4 linked regions of the Drosophila melanogaster genome follow. The protein of the gene in region 4 interacts with the protein of the main gene of each other region in a biochemical or structural test. Each region holds a gene or a part of one and is shown on either strand. Other genes may lie near its edges. The genes, in order: cact, Dek, hry and CkIIalpha.

The links.
Region 1: of the proteins of CkIIalpha (region 4) and cact, one has a biochemical effect on the other in vitro, tested with the Drosophila melanogaster proteins (one study listed by BioGRID).
Region 2: of the proteins of CkIIalpha (region 4) and Dek, one has a biochemical effect on the other in vitro, tested with the Drosophila melanogaster proteins (one study listed by BioGRID).
Region 3: of the proteins of CkIIalpha (region 4) and hry, one has a biochemical effect on the other in vitro, tested with the Drosophila melanogaster proteins (one study listed by BioGRID).

What each region holds. Positions count from the first base shown.
Region 1 is NT_033779.5:16,323,187-16,327,913, forward strand, and holds the start of cact (cactus), read right to left. Parts: upstream 3,022-4,727; 5' UTR 2,835-3,021; intron 2,440-2,834; exon of another isoform or gene 2,308-2,439; intron 2,235-2,307; exon of another isoform or gene 1,869-2,234; 5' UTR 1,842-1,868; coding exon 1,147-1,841; intron 332-1,146; coding exon 154-331; intron 1-153. Other genes in the region: CG4278 (uncharacterized protein), read left to right, coding at 3,971-4,727. UniProt on the Drosophila melanogaster protein: Involved in the formation of the dorsoventral pattern. It inhibits nuclear translocation of the dorsal morphogen in the dorsal region of the embryo. Acts as a negative regulator of the NF-kappa-B (rel) signaling pathway.
Region 2 is NT_033778.4:16,855,135-16,860,811, reverse strand, and holds Dek (Dek), read right to left. Parts: upstream 4,171-5,677; 5' UTR 4,028-4,170; coding exon 3,760-4,027; intron 3,400-3,759; exon of another isoform or gene 3,234-3,399; intron 3,180-3,233; coding exon 2,698-3,179; intron 2,632-2,697; coding exon 2,211-2,631; intron 2,149-2,210; coding exon 2,048-2,148; intron 1,986-2,047; coding exon 1,812-1,985; intron 1,752-1,811; coding exon 1,563-1,751; intron 1,500-1,562; coding exon 1,415-1,499; intron 1,360-1,414; coding exon 1,238-1,359; coding exon of another isoform or gene 1,223-1,237; intron 1,180-1,222; coding exon 1,027-1,179; intron 963-1,026; coding exon 948-962; 3' UTR 542-947; downstream 1-541. Other genes in the region: Fen1 (flap endonuclease 1), read left to right, coding at 5,474-5,555, 5,618-5,677.
Region 3 is NT_037436.4:8,673,933-8,679,762, reverse strand, and holds hry (hairy), read right to left. Parts: upstream 4,005-5,830; 5' UTR 3,514-4,004; coding exon 3,415-3,513; intron 2,392-3,414; coding exon 2,296-2,391; intron 2,159-2,295; coding exon 1,340-2,158; 3' UTR 510-1,339; downstream 1-509. UniProt on the Drosophila melanogaster protein: Pair-rule protein that regulates embryonic segmentation and adult bristle patterning. Transcriptional repressor of genes that require a bHLH protein for their transcription (e.g. ftz).
Region 4 is NT_037436.4:23,095,278-23,103,075, reverse strand, and holds the start of CkIIalpha (casein kinase IIalpha), read right to left. Parts: upstream 6,005-7,798; 5' UTR 5,602-6,004; intron 5,517-5,601; 5' UTR 5,319-5,516; intron 3,437-5,318; exon of another isoform or gene 3,353-3,436; intron 2,861-3,352; exon of another isoform or gene 2,832-2,860; 5' UTR 2,719-2,831; intron 2,071-2,718; exon of another isoform or gene 1,981-2,070; intron 955-1,980; 5' UTR 825-954; coding exon 1-824. Other genes in the region: RpL10 (ribosomal protein L10), read left to right, coding at 7,779-7,798. UniProt on the Drosophila melanogaster protein: Casein kinases are operationally defined by their preferential utilization of acidic proteins such as caseins as substrates. The alpha chain contains the catalytic site. May participate in Wnt signaling.

The sequences.
Region 1 (4,727 bases), on a different chromosome or scaffold from region 4:
TGGGAATCTTTTGTTACAAATATAAATACTTAAATTAGCTTTTGTTAGAAAATCAAGATGATATGACATTACATTCGTCAATAGGGGATTAAGCTAGATTTTACAAATATGCAAATATCTAAATCTTCTTATTCGATCTTTGTTGAATATTACCTCAGCTCCGGCGAGTAAAAGTATCCTCATGATGTTCGGCTGGGCAGTAAGAGCGGCCAGATGAAGGGGTGTCTGGGCCACATCGTTCTGGATGTTGAGCAGGCACGGATGAGGAGCCATGCGAATCAGGGCGGCCACCACGTCCACTGATCCCGAAATACAGGCCAGGTGCAAAGGTCTGAAATGAGAGAGAGAGAGCAAAAAAAACAACATGAATTTGTGGGTTTCTTTTACCTGGCGATCGAACACCCGCACTTTCTTTCCTTCCTGTACACTTGTCGCCGTTCATGTGGCGGCGTAAAAACCCAAGTAAGTTAAGTAGAGGTAAAGTAATGTGAAGAAAGAAGAGGTGCCCCGAAAAACCTGTTCCCGTACCTGCCCACATACCAGGAAAACCCCAAAGCCTGACTAAAACACATGTGTCAGTCGCGTTTCTCGCCTCAGACAATCGTCTTTGAGTGATTCACGAAACTCTCCCCTTAGCTCGCTTGGTGGTCATCAGTGCAACGCGGCGTTGTCTTTGTTATTTTGGGAAATTTTAGGATTCTCATCGGAAATACGGCACGTATAAGTTCATAGAAATTCGGAAATGATTCAAAGACTGTGCTTATAAATCTTTAATCGTGAATTGTCAATGAGTATGTTAAATTGATTTTTAAGAGCATGAAGACCTAAATTCTAATAAAGATTTTTTTTTGGCGATTGTGACAGTCTAAATATAATCAATCGTTTCCAATTTCAAAAAATACCGTCCAATTGTATAAAATATTTAAAATATAAAGTTCTTATGATTGCTAGTCTAAGAATAAGCATGGGAAAGTTTTTAAAGTGACCTAGAGATAAGGCGCTAAAATGTTTAAATCATACTTGGGAATTTCCCCACATTAAAAATACACATTCGAAGTTATCTATAAATGTGGTTTGCACATATATAAATAATTTGAAAGTCTAGAATAAAGTGACATTTCCTGAGATTCTATAATGTTTACTTACGTGTCGCCGTCGTCGTTTTGTTGATAGAACTGCTCCCAGGCGTTCATGATATTAATGCTGCTGGGCGGAGCGGATGATGTTGCTCCCGATCCCGAAGGATTCGCGTTCGCCGTGCTGGCTGTGGAGGATTGAACCTTGCTGCGACCGGTGATTTGGGTGCTGCTGCTCTGGCCGAGATTGTTAAGCTGTTCGCCGCGACTGACCAAATGGCTTTCGACGGTCCATTGTGGGATGCCTGTGTCCGCGCTGTGTTTGAGTCGCATTGAATCGGCGGTGGCAGTGGTGGTGTCCTGGTGCTCCTCCTCTTTCTCCTGCTCCTCCTGATCCTCTTCTTCGTCGATAATACCGGAATCGAGGACAACGGGCTGTTCCTTTTGGGGTGCCGACTCCTGCTGATCCTTATCCTGTTCCTCGCTATCGGGGACTATCTCCTCGCTGAAGATCTGCGAGGATTGCGGGCCGGAGATGAAGCCCGAATCACTGGTTTCGTTTGGCACGGCAAATTCCTTTTGCTTGTTAATGGCGGCCGTTTGATCTTGTGTTTTGCCGCCAATTTTACCGCTAGTGGCTAGTGAGGACGAGGGGTTAGCCGCGTTTGAGGGGGCGCGCTGCTCAACACTGGCAGCGCTGCAGCTGCAGTCACTTGTTGCTGTTGCCTTTGTTGCTGCCTCCGCTGCTTTTGTTGGGCTCGGCATTTTCGTGCTTTTCCTCTCTCAGTTGGGCTAAAATATATGTATATATGTTATATATATACTCCTGTCGTTTTGAACTTTGCTTTTGAGCCCAGTCTCTCAAACACACACACATACACACGCACAGTAAGCGCTCACCTCGGTGGTGCGAGTGAAACAAACATATAGGCTCCAGCGAACAAGTGAAAACGCAATAATTTTTGTAGATTAAAGGCAATTTATGGACTTATGTACAAGTGTAGCCGCAGAAAAATAAAAATTACGGTTTCACACTGGTTGAAAATTTTAGATTTTTCCATTTGCCAATGTCTTATTTGCCTCTTCACGGTTGTTTCACCCGCACACACCCACAATCACACTGAGGTAGATTTTTTATCTCCCTTTTCACACAGCTTCCTTTTCGCTTTTTATTTTCTGCACATGTTCTGGGTTTAAACCCCAGCACTATTTTCTATGGATTTCTCACTACCTTGCTGGTTAATTGTCTTGCGAAGCTGTCTTTAAAACGCGTATTTATGGTTTAAATGTTTGTAATCTGCAATTCGCATAGTACCCGGACGCACGTCTGCTTTCTTTCACGTTTCGATAGCGAATGAAATTGAGGGAGCGCGCTGATATGTATATATTTATATGGCAGTCTATACTATAAAGCCCCGTTTGCACTAAGAGTTATCACGAAATGAAGAGTCTCGATTTTAAATTTTCTTTACTTAGAAAACTGTTAATTGAAAAAAATCTATTTTTTCATATTTGCCCAAAAAAAATAAAATTCTAGACTTGAAAAGACCGAAGTGAAAACGTTTGCCTTAATATATCGACGATGGAGTGTGTAATCGGGGCTTAAATCAGTTTTACATGTGTGCGAGGGAGACCATAGGGTTGCCAGATAGTAGGGAGAGCGCCAAGTTAAAATCTCCCAACAACAAAATGAGCAGCTAAATGGTCAGCTGCAACAAAAGCAACCACAGCAGCGATGCGTTTATTTATACTTCTTACTCTCTGATTGTGTGATTGTTTAGTTCCTCGAGCGAAGCCACTTGATGTTGATGCTCGGCGTCCTACGGTTGAAATGCGTATGACGGCGAGGCGGACAAATATCTGGGAAATCACCCGCTGACCGAGAACGGAAATGAAATGCAGGATTCTTTCTTCGGTTTTTCACAGGTCAGCTTCGATTGAAACCTCGACCAATTCTGAATTTCATGGGATATTCTGAGCGACCGATTTGTCATACACTCTCCTTCTGGGATTTTTTAACACTCAATCACATTTTATCGCCAATTCATGAAATATTATATATACGATTATTTTGGTTTTTACAAGGTTGTATTGATTAAAAAATTATCTGAATCCAAGAAATTTAGAGGGGCTTTACAAGATTATCAGATTCTTACCATAAAACCTGTGTTTACGGTCACAAGTAGTTTCGAAAGTTTTTGCTCGCTTTTTTAATTTAAAATTTAAAATTCCGCCTCTCGTAGTTGTAAAGTTATTTATTATAACAAATAGGTTATTAAAAAATCGGACTTGTTTCCTAAAATTTTGATTAAATTGCTGGGAATTTGTAAATTACTCTTCAGTTTTAGGGGTTTGGTCATTTCCTTGTCGGGTTTTGCTTTTTGCTTTTGTATGACTTAATTAAATTATTCTTTAAAATTTAAATTCTTCGGCTTCCGATTGAATTTCTTGAATTATTATTTATCAGGCGTTCGTTTTTCTATTAAAAACAAGTGTTTGGTGCCAATCTGATAAATTTATTAAGGTATATAAACTTTTTAAATATTTTGTTAATTTCTAATTATTTGTTTGCTATAACATAAACTTTTATCGTTTTATTAAAACTGTTTTGCTATTCTCGTTATTATAAAATCCAAATATTCATTAAATGTTTTTCTAACAAAATTACGCAACAAAAATGTGACCTGCTAATAAAATTATAGTAGTGTTTTTTAATGTTTATTAATATTAACCAATTACTTTATCGCCCAATTTAAAAATTGCGGGTGATAACAGATGATTTTAAGAGCAGGTAAAACAACAAAAATTAAGTTGGCAGCACTTACCGGCCAATAAGTCAATTGCACAAAATCTTAAACGCAGGACCAGAAATATTTTGCAAAGGACGTCAAGGAATGCTGAGAAGGATGAACACTTTTAGTGGTCAAAAGCTGGCGGCTGTGGTCAAGGAGCTGGAGAACTTTGCTCCGACTTCTTGGGCAGAGAAGTGGGACAATGTGGGACTCCTGATCGAACCGCACCGCGAAAAACAAATCAAGAAAATACTATTAACTAACGATTTAACCGAGCCCGTAGTGAAAGAAGCGCTAGAGAAGGAGGCGGAGCTCATAATCAGCTATCATCCGCCAATTTTCAAGCCCCTGACCAGGATTACGCAGTCACATTGGAAGGAGCGCGTGGTGGCAGCATGCTTGGCCAACGATATAGCCTTGTACTCGCCCCACACGGCGTGGGATAAGAAGAGTGGTGGCGTCAACGACTGGCTATCTAAGGCAGTGAATATCATCAGCATCCGCCCTCTGGAACCGGAGTTGGGTGCTCCTCCGGGTACCGGATCCGGTAGATATATAGAAACCAAAATGGAGCTTTCCCAGGTGGTGGAGTCTCTGCAAAAGCGCATTAGAAACAGCGTGCACGTTGCTCTAGCTGTGGGCCACACCCCCAAGACACTCATCCAATCCGTCGGCATTTGTGCCGGCTCTGGAGCATCTCTGCTGAAGGGTATCCAAGCGGATCTTATCATTACCGGCGAAATGTCCCATCACGAAGTTCTGGAGTTTACTCACAACAATACCACCGTTCTTCTCTGCAATCATAGTAATTCAGAAAGGGGTTTTCTCCATGAGTTTTGCCCTATATTGGCCAAATCTT
Region 2 (5,677 bases), on a different chromosome or scaffold from region 4:
TAACATACATCTATTATTACCTTGTAAATATCTAATATTTATAATATTTAACTTTATTCCCTTCCTCATTCCACATTCAATCTTCTGTTTGTTTATTTTTTACTCACAATTTGTTGTGAGCTTGTCTCTAGTTAATAAGCCGAGAAACCTTCCTATCTTCAATCACACTGGGCCCGAGCATTTGTGGTGAACAGCAGGAGTTGGGATGCGATAGAGACATCAAAATCAAAATGGGTTTCAAGGATATATTTTGGGAACAGCAGTTAAACATTTGTATCAGGAGCTCCGCTCAAGTGTGCCTTAAAATTACTCGCCCAAATAATGCATTCTTTTATTACATTAGCCAAAAACTTTTTGTAATCGTGTAAATTTAAAATGGTTTTCCACTTTCGTTTGTTTTTGTACTGCTGCCAGTGTGTGAAATTTCAATATTTCACGCTTTTACAAATTTTTAATTTTGCTTTTTGTTTATTATTTCTTGTGCCTTAAGGTTAAATACATCTTTTCTTGTTAAACGTCAAATCAAAATGCACTACAGTTTAGGTGTTTCTTTTTTATCGGATTTTTACAAGTTTCTCTTTGCTTAATTTACACACTTCGCAGAGCTGTCGTTTGCACATACTTTCAGGAAAATAGAAAATGATGTGCATGCGTGCGCACGGTTGGACAAATAAAAAGTTATATATACAGATGAATATATATAAGAATGGATAGTCGACTGCCGCTGACGTTAGGATTAAGGTGAACTGCAGATAGCTTTTAGGATAGGAGTACAAATCATATACTTATAGGAGACAACTACTTGGAGTTACATTTCGCGAACCATGCCCAACTTCTTTCTGCATCGGCGTACAACGTCCTGACTTTGCTATCGCCTGTTTTGTGTTGTATGTGTACAGAGCCTGGACCCTTCTTCGACTTTAAAGTGGACTTGTCAACGCGTCGTTTTATGTCGCAATTAACTAAGAATTGGGAAATAAATTGAGTTTCAGTAAAACAGAAATTATAAATATGCTTGTAACTTACCGCTTTCACTGTCGCCTTGATGAAGTCTTTCTTGTCTGTTAGGTCAAAGTCTGGATATTTTGCATAAACTTGTTTGCACACGGTTTTCATCGTAATCTCCTCAAGATTGGCTTTATCCAGAATCTCTTTGACATATCCGCGTATTTGTTCATCCTGCAAATAGACGTTCGATGAGGATAACACATTACGATTGCGATTACTGGCTACCAACCGTTGGGAATGCCTGTTTGCCCTTTTTGGTTAGTGGCTCATCCTCGTCGGATTCATCTTTGTCATCGACATCATCATCTTCCTCGGACGATTCCTTCTTTGATTTTTTCGATCGACTATCGGCTGCGGATTACATTAATTGTTATTTCATACGGTTTTCATATTACTTTTAACATACCCTTTCCAGCTGGTTTTGACTTGTTGTTAGCTTTGCTATTTTTCGCAGGCGTAATGGGCTTCTTGCTCTTTTTGGGACGTTCCTCCTGAAAAATTGGCATATACTTGATAAAACACCAAATGCTCGATATTAAATTAAATTTACATACTTCGCTTTGATCGCTGGCAAAATCGGAGACATCCTCCTCCTCTTCATCCTCGGATACCTCCTCATCTTCGCTATCTGAATCTTTACGCTTGCGGGAAGCTGCACCTCGTCCTCTACCCCTTCGTCCAGCTGACGCAGGAGCTGCCGGTCGTCCACGTTTACCCACGGAACCACGTTTACGTTTTGGGACCTGGGGATTTAGTTATTTTTTTTTATATAGGTCACTTGGTCATACGTTTATAATACATACATCACTATCGGCATCGGAAACTTCCGATTCCTCTTCTTCCTCGGAATCAGAGTTTCTTCTGCGACTTTTGCGCGCAGGACGACCGCGTCCACCGCGGCTTGGGACTTTGCGACCTGCTGCACCAGCACCACCACCACGACCACCGTCAGAGTCGGAATTGGCAGAAGGATTGTACTATAAGCAAAACGACAAATGAGCCAAATTGTGCGCATGGTTTCTGGGCGAAGGATACTTACATCTGAGCCCGACTCGGAGTCATCATTTCGTCTCCTTTTGGGAACTGCAACTTTCTGCTCGCTATCGTCAGAGCTGGAGAAATCTACATAGGCGGACATTTCTGAAATTTAAAACGTAAACATGTTTAGATATATACAATACTTTTGATTTAGATGAGCATACTCTTTCCTGCCGTCGCGCGCCTTGGACGTCCGGTGGAATTGCGTGCAGAGCCTCTGCCAGCGCCGCCGCTAGACTTTCCGCTCTTGCGCTTCTTGTCCTCTTCACTGGGCGGGTCCTCCTCATCTTCATCCAGATCCTCGTCCTCGGCATCTTCCTCCTCCTCCTCATCACCCTGCTCCAAGCAAAGCGACTCGTCCGGTTCCATTAGGAATTTGAGCACTCGAAGGACAGTCTCGTTCTTGCTGCCCTTGCGATCGAGGGTAAGGATCTCGCAGATGCTGCGCAGGCCCTTATTATCCACCTTTTTGATGGCCTCCAGCTTTTTGTTGTACTCCGCTGAATCCTTGGCAAACTCGAAACCGGCAAAGGATCGCAAGTTCTTCTTGACCACATTGTTCTTGCCTTGGGCGCCAAAGCAGATCTATAAATGAGGTGTGAAATTAGTTTTTGACAAGTTGTTGGCAAAAATGTTTCTCAGCTAACTTACTGCATGCAATGTTTGCAGACCATCTACACGAGTCTTGTTGATATTCTCATTAATGCGATCAATCTCGGCGAGAGCGACGACATTCTCATCATCCTCGGCCACCTCGTTGTTCTTGTCCAGGCCATCGTTCTCGTCTCCATCGTCATCTTCGGCATCCTCATCATCCTCGTCCTCTTCGTCGTCGTCCTCCTCCTTAGCCACCTTGCCATTCTTGGCCTTGGGCTCAGGTTTCTTGGGCTTATCGGCTCCCGATTTTGGCTTGGACTCATCAGTGGCATCCTTTATCTTGTCCTCTGCATCTAATTTCGGTTTCTTCTTCTCGCTCTCTTCATCGCTAGCTTTCTCATCAGCCTCATCTTCTGGCTCATCGCCGTCTTCCGAGTTCTCCTCGTCCTTTTCGGAGTTGTCCTCCTTTTTAGCATCCTTATTGTTGGACTTCTTTATTACCGGCGAGGGGGATTTCTCCTTTTTGTCCGCTGCAGCTATAATATTAATTGTAATTATTATTATTTGTAAGAGTTCAAATGTAATAAAATAAAAAAGATGTTAAAATAATAAAATGTCTTCAACCTTGGGACGTCCAATGCTAATTTCGTTTGGGAGCGCAAGGGAACATGAATATTGAAGTTTTGCTGTACCTCGGCATTAAACTACGCAGAACCCATTTAAAGGATTTAGCATGAACAAAAGCCAAGGAAGGAAGGAGGAAGGAAAGTTAAGAGAACTCAATCATCAAACTCTAATAATGGTTTTGTAAACATCGACACGGAGGGGGATCGAACCACATGCCAACATCAGCATAGCGCGGTAAACAAGAGAGACACAAGGAGCGACGCTTTAGACCGCAGCGCCACATCGGAACTCTCCCAATAAGTAGACCAAAGCGAACAAGAGGACGAGAGAGGAAAAGAACTTTCCCGAAGAGAGAGCGAAATAGTTCGGCGCGTTTTTTAAAATGCGCGGTAAATTCACTTTGATTTTTGTTTTTCTCTCTCGTTCTTCACACACACAGTTAGTTAGATTGTGTGTTCGCCTGGCTTTGCCTTTTAATTTTTTATTTACCTGCATCCGATTCGGTATTTGAAACAGCCGTTGAGTCTCCTTTGGCTTTTTTATCAGCGACGTCATCAGTGGCGGCAGAGGCAGAGGCGTCGACAGCGGCGGGGGATTCGGCTGCATCTTTGGAGCCCCTTTCCGGCTGTGCCCCCACGGCTTTCGCCACCCCCGCAGTAACCGATGCATTTTCCACATCGCTTACCTTATCGGCGGCATTTTCTTTGGCTGCCGTTTCTGCCGCTTTGTTAGCATCCTTTTCGTGCGGCGATGGCATGGAAAGATACAAAGTCAGAATTGGATTACACTTGCTAATTTTTTGGCGGCCAATACGATGGGTTTCGGTGCGCCTATTTCTTTTTTAATCGAATCGCAATTTGAGTGTGAGTTAGGTCTTCGGCGATTGCGAGTTTGTGTATGCGTGTCTTCTTCGCCGAGCGAGCAAGCGAGTGAGAGAGGGAGCAAGAAATGAGAGAGGCGATAGAAAAAACAACATTGCAAATCTATGAGGCGCACACACACACACTAGTCATCCCGCTCGCACCCACTCGCATCGGCATCTCGAGCCACAACGACGCCATGTTTATACACACAACCGAACGGCGGGAGAGAACCGATAGTCGGGCAGTTAGCCTCGCGGATAATTTGTTGCGCTCTATTTACACACAAAATACGTTAGCAATCCCGCCGTTTTCATTTCACCTCGCTGGCACACACTTTCCGGCGCTTTTTCCCACATTTTTCACCTTTTTACATACCATATTTCTAATGGCTTTTCTGTTTTTCCGTCAGCCGACACACATTCAATCTGCTCACTAGAAGAGGTGTCACAATCGATAGTATTGCAGCCGACAAGCACTAAAAAATACCCGGCAAAATAATGGGTGCCCTTTTCGTTGCTCACTTTTGGCGGGCTTTTTACAAGGGAATTAAGTTGGTATACATGTTCAGTTGTTAATACCATTTTATGATTCTTTATTTTAAAATGCATTTAAATTCTTTCTTGATAGTGTCCAGTCAACTCTATCGCTATTATCCTAAGCTAACCACATTGCTTACCTGTAATTATATTATAATTCATATGTTAGTCTGATCTGAATACAATATTTATATACCCCAATAAAAATATTCAAAAGAAAACTATTTAATTCTGGTATATTTTGATTAACGATAATATTATTCTAATGTATTAGTAACACTGATCTAAATAAAAAAATATTTATATACGTATATTATAATAGTCGAAAGAAATACTTTCTTTTTAAACAAAATGACTGGTATTAACCAGTCCTATATATTTCTGAAATATTTTGCTTTTTAATGAATCGGACTAAATTATATATATATATGCATAAAAAACATATTTGAAGGAGACACTTGCTTTTTAAATGATTTGTTAACCAAAACCATCTAATTTTGGAATATTTTGCAGACCGGTAGTCATATTTTAATTCATCAGTCACGCTGATCTAAATGTTAATATTTATATACGTTCATAAAAATATTCGAAAGAAAATGAAATAAATATGTAAAAACTAACAATTTAGCGAATAAAAAATTTTTTGACGTTCTGGTATTTATGTATTGAAAAGGCGGTCACTCTTGTTGGCAAAAAAGCGCGCGGCGTGTTTTCACAAACAAAACAATTTGATAAACCCCTGGCTATACTTAATATAATCATATATTTAATTAATTACAAGTGTTAAGTTAAAATAAAATCGCCATGGGAATTTTGGGCTTATCTAAGCTCATTGCCGATCTGGCGCCACAGGCGATTCGCGAAAGTGAGATGAAGCATTTTTTCGGTGAGTCCGGTTCTATTTGCTAAATATAAACAAAACTTTAATAGTATGCTCACATTTCAAAGGTCGCAAGGTAGCAATCGATGCTAGTATGTGCCTGTACCAGTTCCTCATCGCCGTGCGCT
Region 3 (5,830 bases), about 14 Mb from region 4:
TGATCACTTCGATTGGAATAACCAATGATTAAATTGCAAAATATTTTAAAATATTATCGATCAAAGGATTATAATAAGTATTTATTTCGTCACAACTGTTTCGAATTACTGGCCTATCGAACGGATGTGTGAAAATCAAGGCATTCCTATATAATGTTTATGATGCACATATATCTATATCCGTTACGGTCTGGCCACAGAAAAACCTTCAACTCGTCGTGCCGATTATATTAGCAGAAACGGACATAATCGAGCCCCTTAAAACGTAGTTGTATTATCGTCGAAATCCCCGCCGATCCTCTCCAGCAAAATGAATTTCACCATTGGCATTATAATAATTAGCGTCGAAATTTGCTACGATAAGTCGGGGGGCTCGATAAGTTTCCTGTCACTCAAAGCGTTTGACCTCTAAAACAAAAAAAAGAACCATAATGGGACTTTCACCCGAATGAAAAAAAAACCCAGGAAAAGATACCCCAACCACAATAACAAATCCGTTTTGCGTATTTGATTTTTTAGTAGAATCTTTTAAATTTATTTCTTTTTAGTGTGTTGTTTGTTTGTTTTTTCTTTCTTGTTGATTTTTTTGCTTTTGCTTGCATCAAATTCTTGTTTTGTTTTCTTAGAAGCTCATTATGTTCACTATATCACGTGGCCTTACGAATAGATTTGTGTGTTTTATAAATATAATTATTCTTTGATTAGACTTAAGAGCGAGAGAAACCCTAAGCGGCTTAGCTGGCTATGGTACAAAACCTATACTTAAATGGAGATGTACGACTATGTGTAAGAGTTATGCTTTTGCGTTTATCTTTTTCATAAAAAGTATTTCAGCTTTTCAGGTGCTTATTTTCGCATTTTCATTTTCTGTGTTTGGAAGACTTTTGCTGATTTGCTGTTATTCAAAGAGTAATACATGATACATGAGGCAATTCAACACCAAGTACTTGGACTGAGGTAGTTTGGCGATGTCCTGGTAGAATACCGTTCTCTCAAATCGATTACATAATATAATAATAAATAAATTATAACAACGTTTGCGTGTGTGTGTTTGTGTGTGGGTGCGTCTGATGAAGGTCCTTAGCCTCGTCGACGGGTTTCCAGGATATAAGCCAGGAAACTAAGCCAACGAAGTTGTGAACCGAGTTTAGGATTCGCATGTTTGCAACACTTCAAAGCAACATTTGCGCAATCCCGGCGAATGATGTGAAATGTCTACGCGCATGCGCACAACGCCTGCGCATGTGTGCGAGTTGGATGAGTTGTGGGGGGTCAGTCTTAAAAGCGGGAGATTCGATAGGGGTGGCTATGCTATATGATATGCATATGCAGACACCCTCTACCAGGGCCGCCAGGGCTGCTCCTCCTCCTTGATCTGCTTCTTGATCACCAGCGACAGGGGCTGCTGCTCCATTGGCACGCGCTGGATGACCGATGGCTTGATGTCCATGGGCTCGTAGCTAGAGTTGGCCGGACTGGGCGGGGCGTAGCTACAGCTGCTGCTGCTTCCGGGCGCCGACTCGTATCCGGCGGAGGAGTGCGAGCTGGCGGATCCGGTGCTGGCTGTACGCTGGGGCATGCTGACCAACATGGGTTGCTGTTGTGCTGCTGCTGCGGCCGCTGCTGCTGCTGCGACGGCGAGTTGCTGCTGCTGCTGTTGGTGCTGCAGCAACTGTTGCTGCTGCTGCTGGGGCAGGCTCTGGGGCAACACGAGGGCAATGCTACCGTTGGGCAGCTTGGTGGGGATCACCTGCATGCCATTGGGCAGAAAGTAACCGCTGGCCGTCTGCTGGATACCAAAGAGGTAGGGTGCCGCTGCTCCCTGCTGGCTATCCTGCTCCGGCGAGCTGGGCGGCGAGGGCAGCATCTGGGCGTGGATGGACTGCTGTTGCTGCTGGCGCTGCTGCTGGTGCAGCTCTGTCTTAACGCCATTGATGCAGTTGCTCAGGTGCTGTAGCAGGCGACGACGCTGGGCGGGCTCGATGCCGGGAAAGCGGCTAACCTCGTTCACACAGTCGGCGAATCCGGCCTTGAATTTGTTCACAATCTTGGGATCGGCGGCCTGCTGCATGGCTGCCTGCTGGCGCTGCAGCTCCTGCAGATGCTTTACTGTCTTCTCCAGAATGTCGGCCTTTTCCAATTTGGAGTGGCGAGCCGGCTAAAAGTAGAGAGAGAAAATAATTTGGAAATTAGTCAATGATTTAAACTTTTAAAAAATATTTGAGATAATTTCAAATATGTAGTTTTTTTTATTTTATTTGTGGCTTTAAACTTATATTTTTGTCAGATACTTACGTCTTTTTTGGTGGCATCCAGAATCAGAGTCTTGAGTTCATTGAGACAGTTGTTAATACGGGCACGTCGGCGTTTCTCCATGATGGGCTTGTTCGACTGCAAGAGGCAAGAAATGGAAAAAAAAAACATCGATTAGTCACGGCTTTTGCACGGCTAATTTGACCTCATGCAACGACCCAAAAATAGAGGAAGCTGCATGGGTCTTCAATTGGATTGGAGGAGATCAAGGAGGAGGCGGCGTAGGTTGGGGAGCGGATTGACTGGCTGGCGGCCAAATTTAGTCGCACGGCGCGTGCTCTATTTATAGCGCCACTCGGCCGAGGCATTTATTTAAAAATAGTTTGGCGGTTATAAATTACAGGCAGTGGCTATAAATAAACCAACCAGGTATGAGCAAAAATAAAGAGAATGTGACAAGGTCAGAGCGGGAAATTCGAAGATGCCATAACTAGGTACATTATTATCTAGGGAGCACAAGTTGCCAAATTTGGACTCGCATGAAGTCAGTTTTTTTTTTTCTGGCCAACTCATTGAACCGGTGCCGTTCGAATGGCCAAAAACGGCGGCTGATGACCGACAATTGCAGCCACCACGCGACGCACGCGCCAAGTGGCAGCCAAATCCGAATCCGAGTCCGAATCTGGGGAGCTGGTGGGCAGCTACGCCAGCCAATTTTGGGCGGCACTCATGAATGGATGGAGCGTGTGTGTAGTCGGAGTAGTATGCCATATGCCATATAGTAAATGCCACCAACGCGACGCGAGATAAATTCGCTTTGTGTTGGCGCGCCGACGGCAGTTGCGGCCTTTTTTTGGTCTGGCTCAGAGTGTTTTTCTTTTTTCGTATTTTTATTCCCAGCCAGCCATGTGGGAGATGGCTAAAAAGGAAATGCATTTGGGCAGCGGGATTGATGGGGCCAGTCGCCCACAGTCGCGAATGGAAATCAACTTGAGCTCGAAGTGGGTGGCTCTCAATTAGGGGAATTCTCGGTTTGGTTCGCTTCAGTTAATCCACAGATTTCGGGGAACTAGAGGTTCTGATTTAATCCATTGACGGGGTTTTTTGTTTTTGGCTTTGGATTTTTTTTTTCGAGTCTTATTTTTCTCGAAAGAAACTTACCCGACGGTCACTTTTGAGCGGCGTCTCCTTGAGCTGGGCCGGCACAACGGCGGTGCCCAGAACGTTGGTCATGTTGGCTGCTGTTACGCCGGTAACCATTTCGGTCAGATATTGTTTGTTGAGTTTGAGGCACAGTTTGGTTTTCACTTGGCAGCAAATCTGAATTTGCTGCTCTTTGCAATATAAGTTCACTGCTTTTTTGCTTTTTTTAGAATAACTCAAGTTGTCAGTTTTTTTTTTTTTCAAGTTCACTTGGTGGTTTCACTTTCGCGCAGCGTCGCAGAGAAGCACGTAAAATGGTATTGTGTCTGGGGGGGTTCTCTAGATTTCGATTCGGTTTATCAAAGCGGAGCGATAGAACCGCACGCTACGAAATACGGCAGGCGAATGAGCAGCAGGTTCTGGCTGCAGTGCGATTAAAAGACCGAAACGACTCGGCACGAAGCAGAAGATCGATCGTTCGGCTTTCGGATGGTTGCGCTATATATATGTATGTATATATATATATAAGTATTTGCTTTACTGCGTCTGGATGTTGCGGAGCGTAGCGGGACTACCTTATCGCTGGGCTCTCGGCGGAAGACTGACGATTGATCGACAGGTTCGTAGGCTAAATCGCCGCTGCGAGACGCGAGCGCGAGCCACACGACCGCACCAATACAATTGCACTGGCATTGCGGCTACCTAGGGGTATACATTATGCGCTACCTGCTCGCTTCAGTGTGTGTGTGTGTGTGTGCGTGCTCACGCTTGTGAGCGGTACCTAAAGTACACACCGCGTTACTCATACGCCCCCGTGGCTCGCGGGAATGGGCATTTCTTCCTTTTTGGAAATCACACTGCGAAACCCCCATTGGTGATCGTCGGTCGGTCGGTCGATCAGCGATCGGTTTGGCTTGACTCTGCTGGGCTCTGCTAACTGAGGGATTCACAAGAGGCTGTGTTTCTGGCTGTGCTGTTGGTGATGGTCGCGGTGGTGTTGGTGTTGTTGCTGCTTCTGCGGTGGTTTCTGGTGGCTCGCCGTTCGTGGTTTGCTGATTCATGCGGCCAACGCGACGACGTCCCATAGAAGGTGAAAATAGCTGGCTATATGACGCCACCCCAGTGCGACAGGTTCGGTTTTTTGTGCTGTGTACTGTGTATCTGCGGCTCGGGGGTCGCTAAACAGTAAACAAGATCACAAGGTTGTGCGCACGCTAGGCGGAAGTGGGTGGTTGGGTGGTTGGGTGGTTGGGCGATCGGGCAGTGGGTGGTGGCTATAGTTATCCCCCTAGCATTTTCCAGACCAGTCTGTACAACCGACTCATTCAGCATGCCGTACGCCTCAATTAAGTGAAGGTCGCCCTTTTGGCTTTTGATCGATAGCCGCCAACGGGCTAAATGAAATGGAAATCGCTGTGGACAAGGCTGCGTGGATCACACGTGCTCCGCCGGACGCTTAGATTCAGCTTGATGGCTTCTACGTGCAGCGTTGGATTTTCACGTTTTTCATATATTATTTGTTGTTTTGTTTTGGAGTAATGATTTATCGAAGGTTGACTATAATTACGCGACACGCGGAATAGTCGGGCATCAGAAAACTAACCATTCATTAGCAGAATGAGAAGAGGGGCATTGCAGTGAAAACTGGGAATATTACAGTGAAAATGAAGCTTAAATTATATTGTTTATTTGGTAGTAAAAAGCCAAAGTGCGTCACACACATTTCGTTACAACCGAAAGTGATATTTTAAATAACTGCTTAAGCCATCTATTATTTACAAAATATGGGTTAAGTTTTAAGAAATGGTAATAACCATGTAATTAGTTTAACCAGGCTGAGCTCAGTAAAGGTAGATGACACATATTTAGGTTACACGATCTATAAAAGGAAATTACGTTATCTTTGACGTTTGTTCTTGGGAAATATTTTTAAAGCCTGACTTGGACTCTGACCACTGATTAGTGAAGTTATACCAAAACCACGAATCGTCAACAAAGTTACATTGGAATGAGTCAGTCAGGCTTTAAACATTCAAGTTGGCTAAAAACGGGTGTTTACAATATTTTTTTTATAGCGAAACCACCTGGCAGTGTTTTTATAGAAACTAATAAAGTTGACTCTAATGAAGATGAGTAAAAAAACGTTTAGAAGTTAATTTGATTTTACTACACTTAATTTCTGCTTAATAATTAAATGAAATTGAACTTAATCAACAATCACGTCTTACAAATATGCATATCTATCGATTCGTGAAAATACTCAAAAAGTTTGGGGAATTTCTGACATTTTTGACGGTTGTCTAAAGTGTTGTGCGTTTTGTGGTCGCCAGAGAAGGTTGTTATGCCGAGAACACATGCCCCAACAATATGGATACATATATATATAGACGGTAGTGGCGGACGTCGACAACACCTTCGCGTTCCAATTACAATT
Region 4 (7,798 bases):
GAGTGACGCTGTAGAATGTCGTGAAATCTTGGATCGAGGTCAATATTGTATTTATCCAAATATGCGTAGAGTTCTTCGGTGCCCAGCACCTTGGCAATGCGTACCAATTGATCATAGTTATCATGTCCGTGGAAAAATGGCTCTTTTCGGAATATCATCGACGCCAACATACAACCTAGTGACCACATATCCAGTGAGTAATCATACATCTGGTAATCTACCAGTAATTCGGGACCTTTAAAGTATCTCGAAGCCACACGAACATTATATTCTTGACCAGGATGGTAAAATTCGGCAAGTCCCCAATCTATAAGGCGCAATTTTCGATTTTCGTGATCTATCATAACATTGTGGGGCTTTACATCACGATGCATTATTCCCATGCTGTGGCAGTAGTCAAGTGCCTTAAGAAGCTCAAACAAGTAGTAACGAATCTCATAATCAGTTAATGTTTGGTAAAGTTGCTTGAAATCTGTGTTGTTGACGTGCTCAAAAATCAACGCTGGTGTTCGAGAAACTGGGTCCTTGACAACGGCTAAAAGTGTTATTATATTAGTTCCTCCACGCAAGTTCTCCAAAATTTTGATTTCACGCTTTATCTTCTTTTTTTTAACAGGTTTCAGAATTTTAACAACGCACTTTTCCGTGGTCGTAATATTAATGGCCTCGAAGACCTCAGAATACTTTCCACGGCCTAATTTACGGACCAACTGATAATCGTCTTGATTGCCCCAATCAACCACATAATTTTCATAGTCCCAATATTCATCCGGTTTGTGCGCATTGACATCTGTGTACACGCGAGCCGCACTAGGAAGTGTCATTTTTCTCAACAAAACGTTCCTTTCTGCCTCCTTGTTAAAATTTTTTTCGGGTTGTAGCAGTAAGTTTATGTGAGCTGATTCCGTTCTCAGTCGGTTGGTGGTCCTAACAATATTATTATTGTACAACAATCTGAAAGTAAAACGAAAACGTATTTAATCAGAAGCAATCGGAAACACATGTCTACACCTCTTCATAGCATAACACATTTCCGAAACAGCTTAAATATCGTTATATCAGTAACGCAAAATGCCAAATTTTAATCGTCTTAACATAGAAAGAAAATTGAGTAATAATAAACAAAATCAACTGTAACCACTAACATTATTCGAGGTAAATGAAGTTTTACAAATGTTACAAATTTCTTTCTGCATATGCAATTTCATTTGCAAAATCATTTGTAGGTTATTGTACTTCCGTCATCTAGCAGCTCTGCAACTCTCCAAACGAAAACAAAACAAAGTTCTTTCGCTCGAAATGTTGATCTAAAGATAATGAGACTTTCCACCTTCAAACGCGATAATTGTATCTAAAACTTTGTTTAAATTAATAATTTAGATAAATGATATATATATGATATGCTGGATCAGATGCGTACCAAAGAAGCAAGAAGAAAAATAATCAATATATTACTAATATTTATAAATTTGTCTCAAAAAGTAGCCTAGCAAAACCGAGTCGTCTTTATTTTTCAAATGGATACAACCGTTAGCGTGAAGTGCAAAAAAATAAATAACACTCGGAGTTCTGTGTCACGGTTTATAATTTTTTAATCCATTCCAAAACCTGTCCAACTTCACCTATAGTTTTTGTGGAACCCCTGATATTTTCGATCAGGATTATTCCTTATTCCTACGTACTTAAGAACGCCTAGTTCTCGGTAACTATGGATGCTAGAACGTTAAGATGAACAAGGTTTTATGAGTTGTTAAAATTCCGAATATATGCAGATATCGTTCACGCATTCACCGAGTTGAGAAGAATCACACAACGGTGATTGTAATCAAAGTGTAACACGAGTCAAATAAATAAATGTTTGAAGGTTTTTTAGCAACAAAAACACCCACTTTCGGATTCATGAAGACTTAAGTTGTGTTTAGTGGAAAAGCTATTTCGATAAATATTATAACTTTAGATGATCACCAAAAATTGTACTACCTTTTTTCACTTGTTGTCTTGTTTTAAAGTCCCGACTGCAGAGGAATTAAGTGTCCTTTTGCAATTGATAATATCAAACTAAAATACATCGAGTTAAAAAAAATTTTTTACGATCGTATTACGAACGATTTTTCATATGTTCCTGATTTTAAACTTTGGCACGAAAACGTATTTTACATTTGACTACAAAATTCACTTATTTGGCAAGACTCTAGGGCTATTATGGCAATTATTATTTTGATATATCGTGCCCATAAGTCAATTAAAGAATAATAATAATTTATTGGAAAGTAATTTATTATTCTTGACAAAAGTTGAAATTAAACACCTTGTATGTTGCAGTTGCGAGCGTTGATGGCTCTTTACCTCGATACGTGGTGTTTTTGTTTGAAAGACTTTTACCCTAATTCTATAATCAGCTAAAAGTCTGTCTTACGATTATTATAAATGTTTTAATTAAAATAATTTAGGAAGAATGTATTATATTAAAAAGCTGCAAAACAAATAATGTAAGAAGTACAAACATGTGGGTTTCTTAATCGTGTGCACTTAATTAATATTTTTCAGCATGAATTTATTAAGTTATAGAGCAACCAAAAGAGTTTAATCGATGGTTTGCGCCGCGCTTGCAAAAAGGCGGTTCTTGCAGACATACATATTTTCCACGCAAATACTGTTGGAATTCAGTGGAATTCAATCAATGCACGTGCCTAAGTATAAATATGGATAAAAACGTACCCAATTTTTGAAGATTGATTGTTATAAGCTGGCTTGCCAAAGTATTTTAAAAGATTTCTCCGTCTCGTATGATATCCACAGTGTATGCCGGGTATGTTCCTCACAGTTTTGCACTAATTTATATAATAAGCAGGTATACTAATGAAAATAAATTTTAAATTTGCTTTTATATAAATACTTAGATATTTATTAATACATATATTATGCGAAATCATTTACATAAATAAACCCTTGGTATATACAAAAGTGTATATAAAATATATGTGCATACATAAATCCATGTGTATGCAATGTTATATTTCAATGAATACATTCGCTACTGAACAAATTATTAGTAAAAACGAGTACATACGCCAATGTTAAAAATACACACGAATATCATAATGACAACCACTCTAAAATTCAGAAAAAACTTTAGACGAGTTCACCGGCTTCATGACGGCATGATTCAGAATGGCCCCATATGTACCTATTTATGTACATGCATAAAAAATTTCAAAGACTTTCCACAACATATATACAATTATTGATATATTTCACTGATTTCATGCTCTTGAGAAAATACGCTGTAACGCAAAATCCGCATATACATGTTAATTTAATGCCATTTAATGACAAGAGTAATAATACTCACGTCTTAGTAAAAAAAAAACCAGTGTACGTGGTTACGGAGAAAATTTTTCATATTTTAAGAAGGTTAGCTTAACCGCCGTCTATTTTACTGCATAACAAAACAGTAGGTAGTCAAGATAGATCAAAAAATCATCCTTATGTCAGAAACGATGGAAGTGAAACTGATCCAGCTATTTTATAAAATTAGTTAGGAATTTATTTAGGGTCTATTATTATTTTATTTCTGTCGGGGAAACACTGATAGATTACATTTGTTTATAAAAACAATAACATACGATTATTGAAATCTGTGGTTAGAATTATAGAATATATACAGTTTGTCAAGAAACTGTTTACACACTGTAAAATAAGTTGAATTTTTGACTTTAAAGCTAAAAATTAAGGGTTTTTTTTCTTAATTAAACGCATTTTTTTTTATAAAATATAATTAAACAATATTTATTTTACTTATAAATCAAAAAACAAATTAAAAATATTAAATATACAAGAAAATAAACAACAAATTCCAAGTTTACACACTTTTGAGACTGTCAAGAAACTCTTTACACATTTTGTTTTCCTACTTTGTTTTGTTCTTTTTCTTAGAACGAACTCGATTTTTCCGTTATTTTTGGCTTTGCATTGCTTTTTACAACGCTTCTATTGAAATTTGTTGACTTTGCTTGTTAAATTTTGCTGATCAAACGTGCTTAAAGCGAATTATTAAATTTAATAAAATGCCTGGAAAGAGATTAACTTTTGAAGTTACCCAATTAATAAACTATAACCACCAGTTGGGAAAATCTTTTCCAGAATTAGTATAAATGTTTCCTGTATCCCGTAAGACCGTCTACAATGTTTTAAAAGGCTCGGAAAAAGAGGGCAGGCTTGAACCTAAGAGTGGTGGTGGGCGGAAAATTAATATTAAAAAGCGTGTAGACCGCTTTATTATGCGAATAGTGATTGCGAACCCCCGAATCTCGGTCAGAGCACTTGCTCTGGATATCAGGCAAGAATGTCACCTAACTGTGTCACACGAAACTGTGCGCCAAGTCATCCTACGCCATAGGTACTCTTCAAGAGTTGCAAGGAAAAACCCTTTGCTATCAGATGCCAATATTGAAAAGCGTCGATCATTCGCTGTGAGCATGATGGATCATGCGGAAGAGTACTGGGATGACGTCATATTTTGTGACGAAACAAATATGATGCTCTTTTATAACGACGGGCCAAGCAGAGTATGGCGCAAACCGTTGAGTGCGCTAGAAAAACAAAATACCATTCTAACGATAAAATTTGGAAAAATGTCACTAATGGTTTGGGGCTGTATCACCAGCCGTGGAGTGGGAAAACTAGCCTTAATTGAGAGCACAATAAATGCCGTGCAATATCTAGGAATTTTAAAAAACAAATTTGAAGGCCAGTGCAGAAAAATTTGGTCTAGTTAGCAACAACAAGCCAAATTTTATATTTTAAGAGGACATGATCAGAAACATAAAGAGTGCAATGTACGCACCTGGCGCCCTTATAACTGTGGTAAAGTGATCGATACGCCCCCTCAGAGTCCTGATCTGAACCCCATTGAAAATTTGTGGACCTACTTAACGAAGAAGGTGGCAAAAAGGGACCTAAAACACAACAACAGCGTATGACTGTAATAGTCGAAGATTGTGAAAAGATCCCGTTTGAATATGACCTGCAAAAACTTGTCCAATCCATGAAAAAAAGGCTTCAACTTGTAGCTAAAGCCAATGGGGAACATACTACATACCAAAACTTTTAAAATTTTAATAAAATAATTTAAAAATTTAGGATTAAACTAAATAAATTAAACAAAACACTAAATGTGTTTTGTGTAAAGAGTTCACAGTGTGTAAACAGTTTTTTGACAAACTGTATATATATTCTATATATATTATAGAATTATTATATTATATTATATTATATTATATATATCAATACTCTGATTTCGGTGCAAATATGCTTACCACGTGCCATCGTTGCTGAACTTTGACTGATCTGCAGTAATTTTAAACTTATTTTGTTCTGCATTTTGTTTTACTTTGCAGATTATACCAAGATAGTTTTTCCGTTGTTCTTCTGTTCAGATAACGGTAAGCTTGAAAATCCCAGTCGGAAGTACGGAAGGTATCAAAGGAAATAAGTATTACTAAGTGCTTCTTTTTCTGCATAACAACAACAAAAAATTACGATCTTGACGATTAAGAATTGGAAATGCAACTGGACAGAAACGTAATAAATAAACCACACCTTTTCGCCCTTCTCTGTCTGCTTCTATTGTTTTCGTCATTTTCTTATTGTGAGTACGGTTAGTTTAAATTCTTCGTGTCCTTTTTACTATGGCGATCAAAAATATTACTTCAGTGAAAGAAAATGTACATACAGTTTGTCAAGAAATTGTTTGCACAATGAAAATAAATTGTATATTTGACTTTCAATGCAAAAATATAAAGGCCTTTTATTAAAAGGCATGAATTTATTTTTATTGATAACTATTTATTTATATGTTTTTTATCAATATGTGAAAAAAAAATAACAAAACTATTGACAATGAACAAGAAAAACAACTGAAACCAAGTTTGCATAGATTTGACACTGTCAAGGAATTCTTTTGTTTTCAATTTTGCTCCTATTCCGAGAAATTTCGATAACTAAACGGTACAGAATCGTCATTTACATATTTCTTTATACTCGTTGCATTTGGTTGAGAAAGTGAAGTGATCTTTGCTCCAGTTAGTTTTGAGAAATTTAGAAATGCCTGGCAGAAGATTGAGTTTATAATCACCATTTGGGAAAATCTGTCACGGAATTGTCAGAAATGTTTTCTGCATCGCGGGGAACAATTTATAACGTAATTAATCGCACAAAAACGAGGGCAGATTGGAATCAAAATGTGGAACAGGACGTAAAAATAAAATTTCCAACCGTTCAAACCGAGTTACTATGCGAAAAATTTATGAAAATCCGCAAATATCTTTAAGAACTGTTGCTAATTAGCTTAAGGAGGGCTGCGATCTGGATGTGTGACACGAAACAGTGCGCCAAGCCATACTCCGTCATAAGTACCACTCACGGGTAGCAAGAAAAAAACCGATGCTGCCGACAATTAACATCGAAAAGCGGCTTACTTTCGCTATCGAAATGCAACATCAGCCAGAAGATTACTGGAATAACGTAATTTTCTGCGACGAAACCAAGATGATGTGTTATACGACGATGGACCCAACAGAATGTGGCGTAAGGCGCTAACTGCGCTGGAGAACCGCAACCGTCAAGTTTAGCAAAATGTCGGTTATGATTTGGGTATGCATCTAGTCGAGGAGTTCGAGATTTGGCATTCATATTGATCACAATGAAAGCAGAGCATTATTTAAACATTTGAAATGCAATCTGACATCCAGCGCCATTTGGTTTTTATAAGAACAATAGACCTGATTTCAAATTCACAAAGTGAATTAGTCGATAGGCCAATTGGAAGAGACTACTATTACTGTCTGTTTTCTGTCTGTCTGTAAATTACAGAAAAATTAATAAAAAATCTTTGATATCCAATTCTGTAAGCTGCCTTCGAAATGTTCAGTTAAAAGACTAGACCATTCCAGCCTTTTGCCGATTATGTTACTACGTAAAATATCTGGTGTGCCTCAGAAAATACTCTCATTCCTACTTTGGATATCCAAAACGAGATTGGCCACCTAGTCTGATTCGGATTATCTGAGTTTGGGTCTATAATAAATGAAGCAATACAATTGTAAGCTCAATGTTTCTGCTGCTTATAACATATAAATCTTTGTAACTTTATTCTAGGATAGTAACAACTCTTAGCGGTCCGTTCGAAATGACTGCTGAAAATGGCTAAAATACAAAACCATGAAGTGTAATATATATAATGTGAATTTTTGTAAATGTTACTGTTATATTTATCTGCCCGAATACCAATGACTTAGTTATGATAAGCACAAATCTGGGTTGAAAAACATAAGGTGTGCTTATGGTTGAGGTAAGATTCTAATTTACTTATTTAGTTGTAGTTTTTTAGCTTTGACGTTTAATCGCCAAAAATATTTTTTATTCCAATAAAAATGTATCGAAGAACACGAACACATACATATTTTACAGTATGTAGATTTTAGTGAGAACAACATATAAAGCAATTCAGTTTTGATTTCAAATTGTTTCAAAACAAAGGAAAACACTTATCTCAAGTACATGATTATCGGTTTGCGACGAAACCTTTTGTGCTTCCGGTGTTCGTGTCTTCCTTTTCTCGTGTGCTTCGTTGGAAGAGGTTAGTGAGCGGTAAATGATCTTTGGAAATCTAATATGTTTCATGTTTATAGAAGTTTATATTATCTTACCAAGTTTCTGTTTTGTGCTGTGATGTTAGCATATATTTTATTTATTTGTTTTATTTTTCAGGAGTCGAAATGGGCCGACGACCAGCTAG